2 linked regions of the Oryctolagus cuniculus genome follow. The protein of the gene in region 2 interacts with the protein of the main gene of each other region in a pairwise test. Links are inferred from orthologs where the notes say so. Each region holds a gene or a part of one and is shown on either strand. Other genes may lie near its edges. The genes, in order: POM121 and TEX11.

Region 1 (4,595 bases), on a different chromosome or scaffold from region 2:
CTCCGATTTTACAGACACAATGTACTTAGTAAGATCGCTGTCACTTAACTCTGCCCTTTACAGTCCCAAAGACGGCCCCCTGGGAAACCATCGCACAAGAATGGTCCGGGCGAGGAAGTGGGCCAATCCTATTTTTTGCTGGGGGTCCACCCTCTCCTTAGTGAGCGCACAGAAGAGGTGCGAGATCAAGTCTTAGCCAAGGGAGCTCGTTTGGCCACTTCATCCATTTCCCTCTAAAGTCTCACAATGGGGATTCTGTCTTGTTCCTGCTCTGTCCACGGTGCCTGGACTGTGACCCAGCACACAGTGGGTGCTCAGGAAGTGCCTGTTGAATCGGAAACTGAGCGAAATCCTGAAGTGGCTCCTTGGGCAGCCGCAGAGTGCTCTGCACCCAACTGGCCACTCAGCCTCCGTTCTGCCCACGCTCAGGAAACAGACTCCATTTTTACTACATTAGCATGAAAACCAAATAGGGAAATTGGCTTCACGCTCATCGCTGATCCGCCTGCCTTACTCTGGTGCTCACTGTTCCTGGACAAGCGTTTCCTTCAGCATAAATACAGGATTTAACTGGTGATTACCCAAATAACTGCCAAGCACACAGCTGTGAGGGCAAGGTGTGAAAAGAAAACTGAACACATCTGTATCAAAATGTAGGAGCTGGGGCCAGCGCTGTGGCACAGCGGGTTAAAGCCCCGGCCTGAAGCGTCGGCATCCCGTATAGGCACCGGTTCGAGTCCCGGCTGCTCCACTTCCGATCCAGCTCTCTGCTATAGCCTGGGAAAGCAGTGGAGGATGGCCCAAGTCCTTCGGCCCCTGCACCTGCGTGGGAGACCAGGAAGAAGCTCCTGGCTCCTGGCTTCGGATCGGCACAGCTCCAGCTGTTGCAGCCATCTGGGGAGTGAACCATTGGATGGAAGACCTCTCTCTCTGTCTCTTCCTCTCTCTGTAACTCTTTCAAATAAATAAAATAAATCTTTAAAAAAAAAAAAAAAAAAAACGCAGGAAAACGCATCTGCCCTGTGCTCTGGGAAGCGGGCGGCCTCTACCTGTCCTTGTCGCCAGGCTCCTCTCCGAAAGCCAGGCTGGGGAGTAGCCAAGGCTCTCCAGCGGAAGCTGCTAGGAGCTGCGGGCCCGTGAGCCTGTCAGCACCCACTGCCCTGTCACCTTCTCTTATTCTCCAGGCCATCTGGGGACTGGCGGTCCTCTTCCTCCACCGTCCTCTTCTTCCTCTCTTTGAGGGCGTTCAGCACAGTCTCCTTCGCACACGGGTCTGGGGCGCTGGCTGCCGGTGAGGCCAGTGCTGCGTCGACGGTCTGCCCGGGGCTGGAATGGAAGACGAGATCCAAACAGTGAAGATGCTCCCTCCCCACTCCGAACGGCACAGGTGCGGTCCCTGGAAACCGGGGGCCCACCGACTCGCCAGAGTGTAGTGCCCCCAGAACCTAAAGCGACCGGCAAGACCATGATAAATGGGCGTTCCACTAGAATTTAGGATTTCTCTTTCAGATAAGTAGCTACTCCCTCTGGCTCCACGGCTGCTGGCCACGAGCAGGACTGCGGAAGGTGGTGGCCGCAGACGGAGGTACTCACAGCGGAGGACGGGTCAGCTTGCTGTCGGGAGGGGCTATCCGCACGGTCACTGGGCTACACACCATCTTGGAATTGCGCACGGAGAGCACAGCTTTCCTGGGACAACCATTCCAGCACACGGTGGGAAGCACTCCCAGCGCCGAGTACTGGGCTTGCTGGATCGGGTAGCGTCTTCGGGGCGTAATTACGAACCGATTCGATAAAGTCCCACAGTCCCTGCCGGCAACGGAGACGGCCCGCGTGAGCCCGCGCGATTCCCAGGCGACCCACACCACCATGGTTCTATGGCAACGCCCCCTACCCATTCCAGCTGAGGGCAGAGGGTGGCACGGGCTCAGACCTCAACCATCTGAGAGGGAAATTAAAACCTTGCCCAAACAAGTCAGGGAGCAGTGGCAGGGCGGTGTGCGGCCGGGGCGTGCAGGGAGGGGTTCTACCGCACCCACTCCCAGGCACGCCTTCTGCACCAAAAATCTAACCCATCCCCCTTTTGTCGGCTACCGGAACCAAACGAAAACGTTTCTTTAACTAAATCTGAGAGGTGCTGCCTCCAATCCCTCCCGGAGCTCTGCGAACAGAACCTCTGGTCCAGACGAGGCCGCAGCCAGCACGCGACAGGACCAGCAGGGACACGTCGGGGGTTACTAAACATTCGGATAAATCAAGACCACACTGAAGTGCAGGAGTTGCAAGTGGGAGGGAGAGCTCTGGCCACACGGTCTCTCGTTCCTACAGGGATAGGAGGCCCGGGGGCGGCCAGCACACACCACGGTTTTCGGTAAAAAGCACAAAACCACACGCGAGTCGCGGTTTGCAGGGCAAGGCCGAGCCGCCCGGGGGAGGCCGTGGGCCGCGTGTCCTACCTGTAGGAGGGTCGCCTGTTGGGTCGGAGAACAGGGGAGGAGAAGGAGGGGTAAGCCTGCGGGGTGCGGGGCGCCGGGGGCGCGGGCGCGCCGGCGCGGGCGGGCGGGCTGCGGCCCGGCTTCTCCCGCAGGTCCCTGCCCTCCTGCGCGCGGGCCGCGGGCGGCGGGCCGGGCTTGCCCAGGTAACTGCCCATGAGCAGCAGCTCGGCGGGGTCGGGTCCCTCGAGTAAGGTCCGCGGCTCTAGGAGATCGCCGTTTACCGCCGCCTTGGCCGGGGGCGAAGCGAGCAACGTTCGCTGGCGCCGCGCGTTCCGGACGAGCGAGGACACGGCGCGCGAACCGCGGGGCTCACGGCTCAATCCCCACCAGGCCGCGGTAGCCCCCACGGCCAGCCAGGCCAGCGCGGCCGCCGCCGGCACCAGGTACAGCACGAGGCCGAGCAGCGACAGGCCCAGCAGCGCCGCCCAGGCCGGCCCGCCGCGGCCCCAGCCTCCGCCCGCGCCCCGGCCGGCCCTGACGCTCGCTATGGGCCGCCGCCGCTCGCCTCCAGCCGCCGCAGCCGCCGGAGACATCGCGGCTCCGCGCCGCGGAGAAGACTTAAATATCCCAGCGTGCACCGCGCCGCGCGCCGGATGCGTCACTGCGCGCGCGACTCGGACGCGGCGCCTCCGGAGGAAGCGCTCCTGCCCGGCAACGCCCGCGCCCGCTCCCGACCGGGTTCGGGAAAGTGCGGGCTGCTTGCGGGAGGTGTCCCGCGCACCGTCCGCGGAGGACTCGCCTAAGGACTCGACGCTGCGGAAGGCTGCTCTCCCCAGCACCCTGCGCTCACACGTCTTGGGCGGCGGGCACTCAGCACAATTGCTCGCAGCGGTGCGGGATTTCGCAGTTAGCCCGGTTTTCCGACGGAGCGTTCGCAGCTAACGGGGATTGACGGCGAACCGCAAGGGTGGCGAGCGGGACCGCCGCGCCCCGCCTCGGCAGCGGGGATCTAGCTCTGAACACACTGCGGACCCAGCCGGACGGTGCTCCTGCAGGTCCCCGAGACGAGGGGCGGTTTTTGAGGGTTTGCGGTCCGTCTGAGAAAGGGGAATCGGCGGTTGCCGGGGTCTACAGGGTGGCGAGCAGGCAGCGACCGCTCCTGGTTCACGGGTTTCCGATTTAGGGGACAAAGTGTTTCAGAATTACGGCGTGGTGCTGGTCGCACGACCCTGCGAGCTACGCCTTAAGGAAGCTGTTTTTAAAGACCTGGTGGTTTGCCATTGCAGACCTTGGCCTGGCTCGGCTTTCCTCACTGATTCATCCATCCCGTCGACAGGCGTTAAAGGACTTAAGGGGGAAGGACAGATCGGAGCTTCAGGGCTCTCCGGTTAAGTGGGGAAAGAAAGGTGCACAACTCCGCGTGTGTGTGACGGGTGCGAGCAGACGCGCAGAGAGAAGGGACTGTCACCAGCCAGTGCCCTCAGTAGCCCAGAAGTCTTTACTGGAACTCGCTTCTGTTTGGAAACCGTGGAAGCAGCTGACGGCGTCCAAAGCTCTTTCAGGTTTTCGTTTACCTGGCAGGAGAGCACTGGCGCAGACGGCGCTAAGGGCATCCACCTGTCATTCCCGAGCGTGGCCCCTGGAGGAGCGTCAGCCTCATCACCACAACACGCAGCCTACCTTGGAGCCCACCCCTCCCTCTGACAAGAACGCCCCTTCTTACATAGTCAGTCCTCCTAAAACAACGGAGGCTTTGGGAAGATTCCCCTCAGATTCCTTTTTTTGCTGCAGATAAATTGCTTTGCGTGACAATTCCTCCTGGTGCAGGAAGCAGGCCCCGCAGTTGTGGTTGCATAACAGAATGAAGAGGGGAAGGAGGGCAGGGAAGCCGCTCGGGATGGAGCTGACAAACCAGCTGGAACAAGTTCCAGCCAGACGAGGGACCCCTGTGCAGAGAGGAGGAGGAGCTGACTGCCCCTTAATTGGGTTCCTCTCCCCGCCCCCCAAGTTTTTTTTAAAGATTTATTTTTTATTTATTTGAAAGAGTTACAGAGAGGTAGTGAGAGAGAGGTCTTCCATCCAATGGTTCACTCCCCAGATAGCCACAATGGCCAGAGCTGCACCGATCCAAAGCCAGGAGCTTCTTCCTGGTCTCCTATG
Region 2 (3,805 bases):
CAGCAGTTAGGACTCTGATTTTGAAATATGTTTCCATATTGCCTGCATCCCATATCAGACTGCCTTGAATCAGAGTGCCTGGATCTGCTTCCAATTCCAGCTTCCTACTAATGCACACTAGTAGGCATCAGATGACGGCTCAAACACCTGGGACCCTGTCACCCACATGTGAAATCCACTCTGAGGTCAAGAATCCTGGCTCTGGTTTGGCCCAACCCTGCCTGGGCCAGGGGGCATCTGGGGAATGAGCCATCAAAGGCAAGATTTTCTCAAATAAAAAATAAATATGTAAAGATTTATTAAGCATTTATAGAAGAGGCTTGGGTCAGCCATTTAAGAATTGAAGAATTTAGTTAACAGATACGGTATTTTACTTTTAAAATTTTGTTTAGACTATTTATTTATATTTATTTATTTATGTGACAGAGAGAGACAGAGACAGAGAGACAGAGAGAGGGCACTGTCATCCACTGTAAACTATGCTAAATGGACCCTCTACGAATTTATGCTAACTTCAATAGGACCTTCACTCCAGCTAAGCAATTAGGAACACTACAGCTCCTAGTACTATGTCAAGCATATAGTAGATGCTCAATAAAACTGAGTTTTCCCCTTTGTTGATTTCTGCAGTATATTTCCCACACAGGTGGACAGACTCTATCATATTCCTCAAGTACTTTATAGCATGCCATATCCTCCTACTGTATCCCTCTAAAAATTACTTCATCTCTCACCTTAAAAAATGGATCCGGCATTGTGACATAGCACGTAAAGCCACTGCCTGCAGTGCCAGCATCCCATATGGATGTCAGTTTGAGTCCCAGCTCCCTGCTAATGGCCTGAGAAAAGCAGCAGAAGAAGGCCCAAGTACTTGGGCCCTTGCACCCATGTGGGAGAACTGGATGAAGCTCCTGGCTCCTGACTTCAATCTAGTCCAGCCCTGGCTACTGTGGCCACTTGAGGAGTGAACCAATGGATGGAAGATCTCTCTCTCCCTTTCTCTCTCTCTTTCCTTCTCTCTCTTTCTCTTTCTCTCTGCCTTTCAAATAAATAAAATAAACCTTAAAAAATCTCATTCTCCTCTGCAATTTAAAATATCTATTTTATGTCCCTTTTATACTCCCCCAAAATTCACAATCTTCTTAATTTTCACATCAAAATAAACTACTAATCCTTTGTTTTACTGAAGAACTTCATCCACATTACTTCAAGGCAATTACCCTGCTGAAATGCATGTTTACATTTCTGGATCTCCCAAAAACTTATGCTCCTATGAAAGAGACACCACATATTAATGTTATTAATCCTTCTTAAAATATTTATTTATTTATTTATTTATTTGAAAGACAGAGCTAAAGAGAGGCATAGGCAGAGAGAGAGAGTCCTGGCTGCTCCACTTCTGATCCAGTGTCCTTTTAATGAGCCTGGGAAAGTAGCTGAAGATGGTACAAGTACTTGGGCCCCAAGACACTTGTATGGGAGACCCTGATGGAATTCCCAGCTCCTGGCTTCAGCCTGGCCTAGCCCCAGCTGTTGAGGACATTTGAGGAGCAAACAATTGGATCTCTGGACGCTCTCCCCTCCCTCCCTCTCTCTCTAACTCTACCTTTCAAATAGATAATTTTAAAAAAAAGAATAGACATTGTGATCAATGGAATAGAAATAAGAGTCCACAAATAAACCTCCACATTTATGATGAATTGGTTTTTGATATATGTATCAAGATCACTCAATTTGGAAAGAATAGTCTTCTCAATAAATGATATTGGGACAACTGGATAACCACATGTAAATGAAGCTATATCCCTATCTCACATTGTACTCTCTTATTTTAAAAAGATTTATTTATTTATTTGAAAGACAGAGTTACAGAGAGGCAGAGGCAGAGGCAGAGAGAGGTCTTCCATCCACTGGTTCACTCCGCAAATGGCCTCAACGATTTTGTGAATACACTAAAAGCACTGAATTAAACATTGTAAATGGGTGAATTCTATGGTATATAAATCATATCTTAATAAAAATCATAAAAAGTAAAAAAGGGGGCTATACTAGATGACTTTAGTGCCTCTTTCATTTCCAGGATTACATAATTACATTAAGCAAATTCATCACTGCTTTTTGTCAACTGAAAATGCACACCTAACTATAACAAAATGAGGAAACCTACAATGCAAACAGAGGCAAAGTACAACTTTGAACATTGTGTGATAACAGGAGATATTTTAAAGCATCATCAAGGGGCCGGCAATGTGGCACGGCAGGCAAAGCCACCCACCACGTGTGATACTGACATCACACACGAGTGTCAATTTATGTCCCAGCAGCTCCACTTCCAATCCAGCTCCTCAATAATGGCCTGGGAAAAACATCAGAAGATGGCCCAAATGTTTGGGTAATTGCCACCCACATGGGAGACCTGGATGAAGCTCCTTGGCTCCTGGATTCAGCCAGGCCCAGCACTGGTTGTTGTGACCATCTAGGGAATGAACCAGTAGGTGGAAGATCCCTCTGTCTCTTCCTCTTTCTCTCTGTAACTATGACTTTCAAAATAAATAAATAAACTTTATTTTTAAAAAAATTATCAAGGGGCCAGCGCTGTGACATAGTGGGTAAAGCCACCGCCTACAGTGCTGGCAACCCTTTTGGGTGCCAGTTCAAGTGCTGGCTGGTCCACTTCCAATCCAGCTCTCTGCTATGGTCTGGGAAGGCAGTGAAAGATGGCCCAAGTCCTTGGGCCCCTACACCCACGTGGGAGACCTGGGTGAAGCTCCTGACTCCTGGCTTTGGATCGGCCCAGCTCCGGCCATTGCAGCCAATTAGGGAGTAAACCAGAGGACGGAAGACCTCTCTCTCTCTCTCTCTCTCTCTCTCTCTGCCTCTCCTTTTCTCTCTGTGTAGCTCTGACTTTCAAATAAATAAATAAATCTTTAAAATAAAAAAAATAGTAAATGAAAAACAACAGCAAATGAAAAGACTCTTCTCAAGTAAATATTTGACTGAATATTTGACAGACTGAATGTAAGAGACAGTCACGGAGACAGGTGTTGCAAGAAAAGGCTGCTGCCACAAATAAATGACAGATGTTACATGCAGTGGTTGAAAATATATATTAGTCATTTACCCCCATTCACTCCCATACAGATCCAGTCACCATTAGTCATGTCTCCTTGAGACATTAGACAAGATCCAAAGATCAAATATAGCATCCTATAAATGGCCAGTGACATTTGATTTTCTTCTAATAGATTACCTCTCATTATTCTTGCATTTACATCTATAACTTGCCCCCGTAGTAAGGCTTGTGTGCCTATGATACCTACTGACTCTGCTTGGTGAGAATAGACTTTGAAGAGGTCCTTCTCCACAGCCACCTTCTGAATGATCACGTGTGCCTCAGTGTAACTCCTCTCCACTAATCTGACATATAAGTGCTCCAGACCCTGGGAAATAAAAATGCAATACAATGTGGGGATGAGAACAGCCACAGATGTTACTAATAATTGCCACAGCTAAAAATCAAAGGTAACTTACAACAATGGCAGCTTCAAAAAATTCATCAGAACGCACAGCTTTTCCAATATCTATCCAGCCTCTTCCTGTTTTAATATTCATCTAGAAGAGAAAAGTTAGAAAAATAATTTTTTAAAGTTCACATCTCCCCAGACTGGTTGGGGGATATTGGAGAAAATGCTCCTCTATCAATATTCAGTCACAAAACCTACAGAAAACAAAAAGGAACAGTCAGCATTTAGGAGAGTTTTGTGTTCTACTTTGTATTACATAATTCAAGAAAAAATATCTTAAT

What was found.
Region 1: the proteins of TEX11 (region 2) and POM121 interact in binary tests that used the Homo sapiens proteins (3 or more experiments, as listed by UniProt). The two-hybrid records come from large-scale screens. The link is inferred for Oryctolagus cuniculus from reciprocal best matches to the Homo sapiens genes TEX11 and POM121.

The regions. Positions count from the first base shown.
Region 1 is NC_091450.1:50,673,635-50,678,229, forward strand, and holds the start of POM121 (nuclear envelope pore membrane protein POM 121), read right to left. Parts: upstream 3,069-4,595; 5' UTR 3,029-3,068; coding exon 2,457-3,028; intron 1,810-2,456; coding exon 1,594-1,809; intron 1,327-1,593; coding exon 1,168-1,326; intron 1-1,167. UniProt on the Homo sapiens protein: Essential component of the nuclear pore complex (NPC). The repeat-containing domain may be involved in anchoring components of the pore complex to the pore membrane. When overexpressed in cells induces the formation of cytoplasmic annulate lamellae (AL).
Region 2 is NC_091453.1:50,675,826-50,679,630, forward strand, and holds part of TEX11 (testis-expressed protein 11), read right to left. Parts: intron 3,613-3,805; coding exon 3,532-3,612; intron 3,441-3,531; coding exon 3,321-3,440; intron 1-3,320. UniProt on the Homo sapiens protein: Regulator of crossing-over during meiosis. Involved in initiation and/or maintenance of chromosome synapsis and formation of crossovers.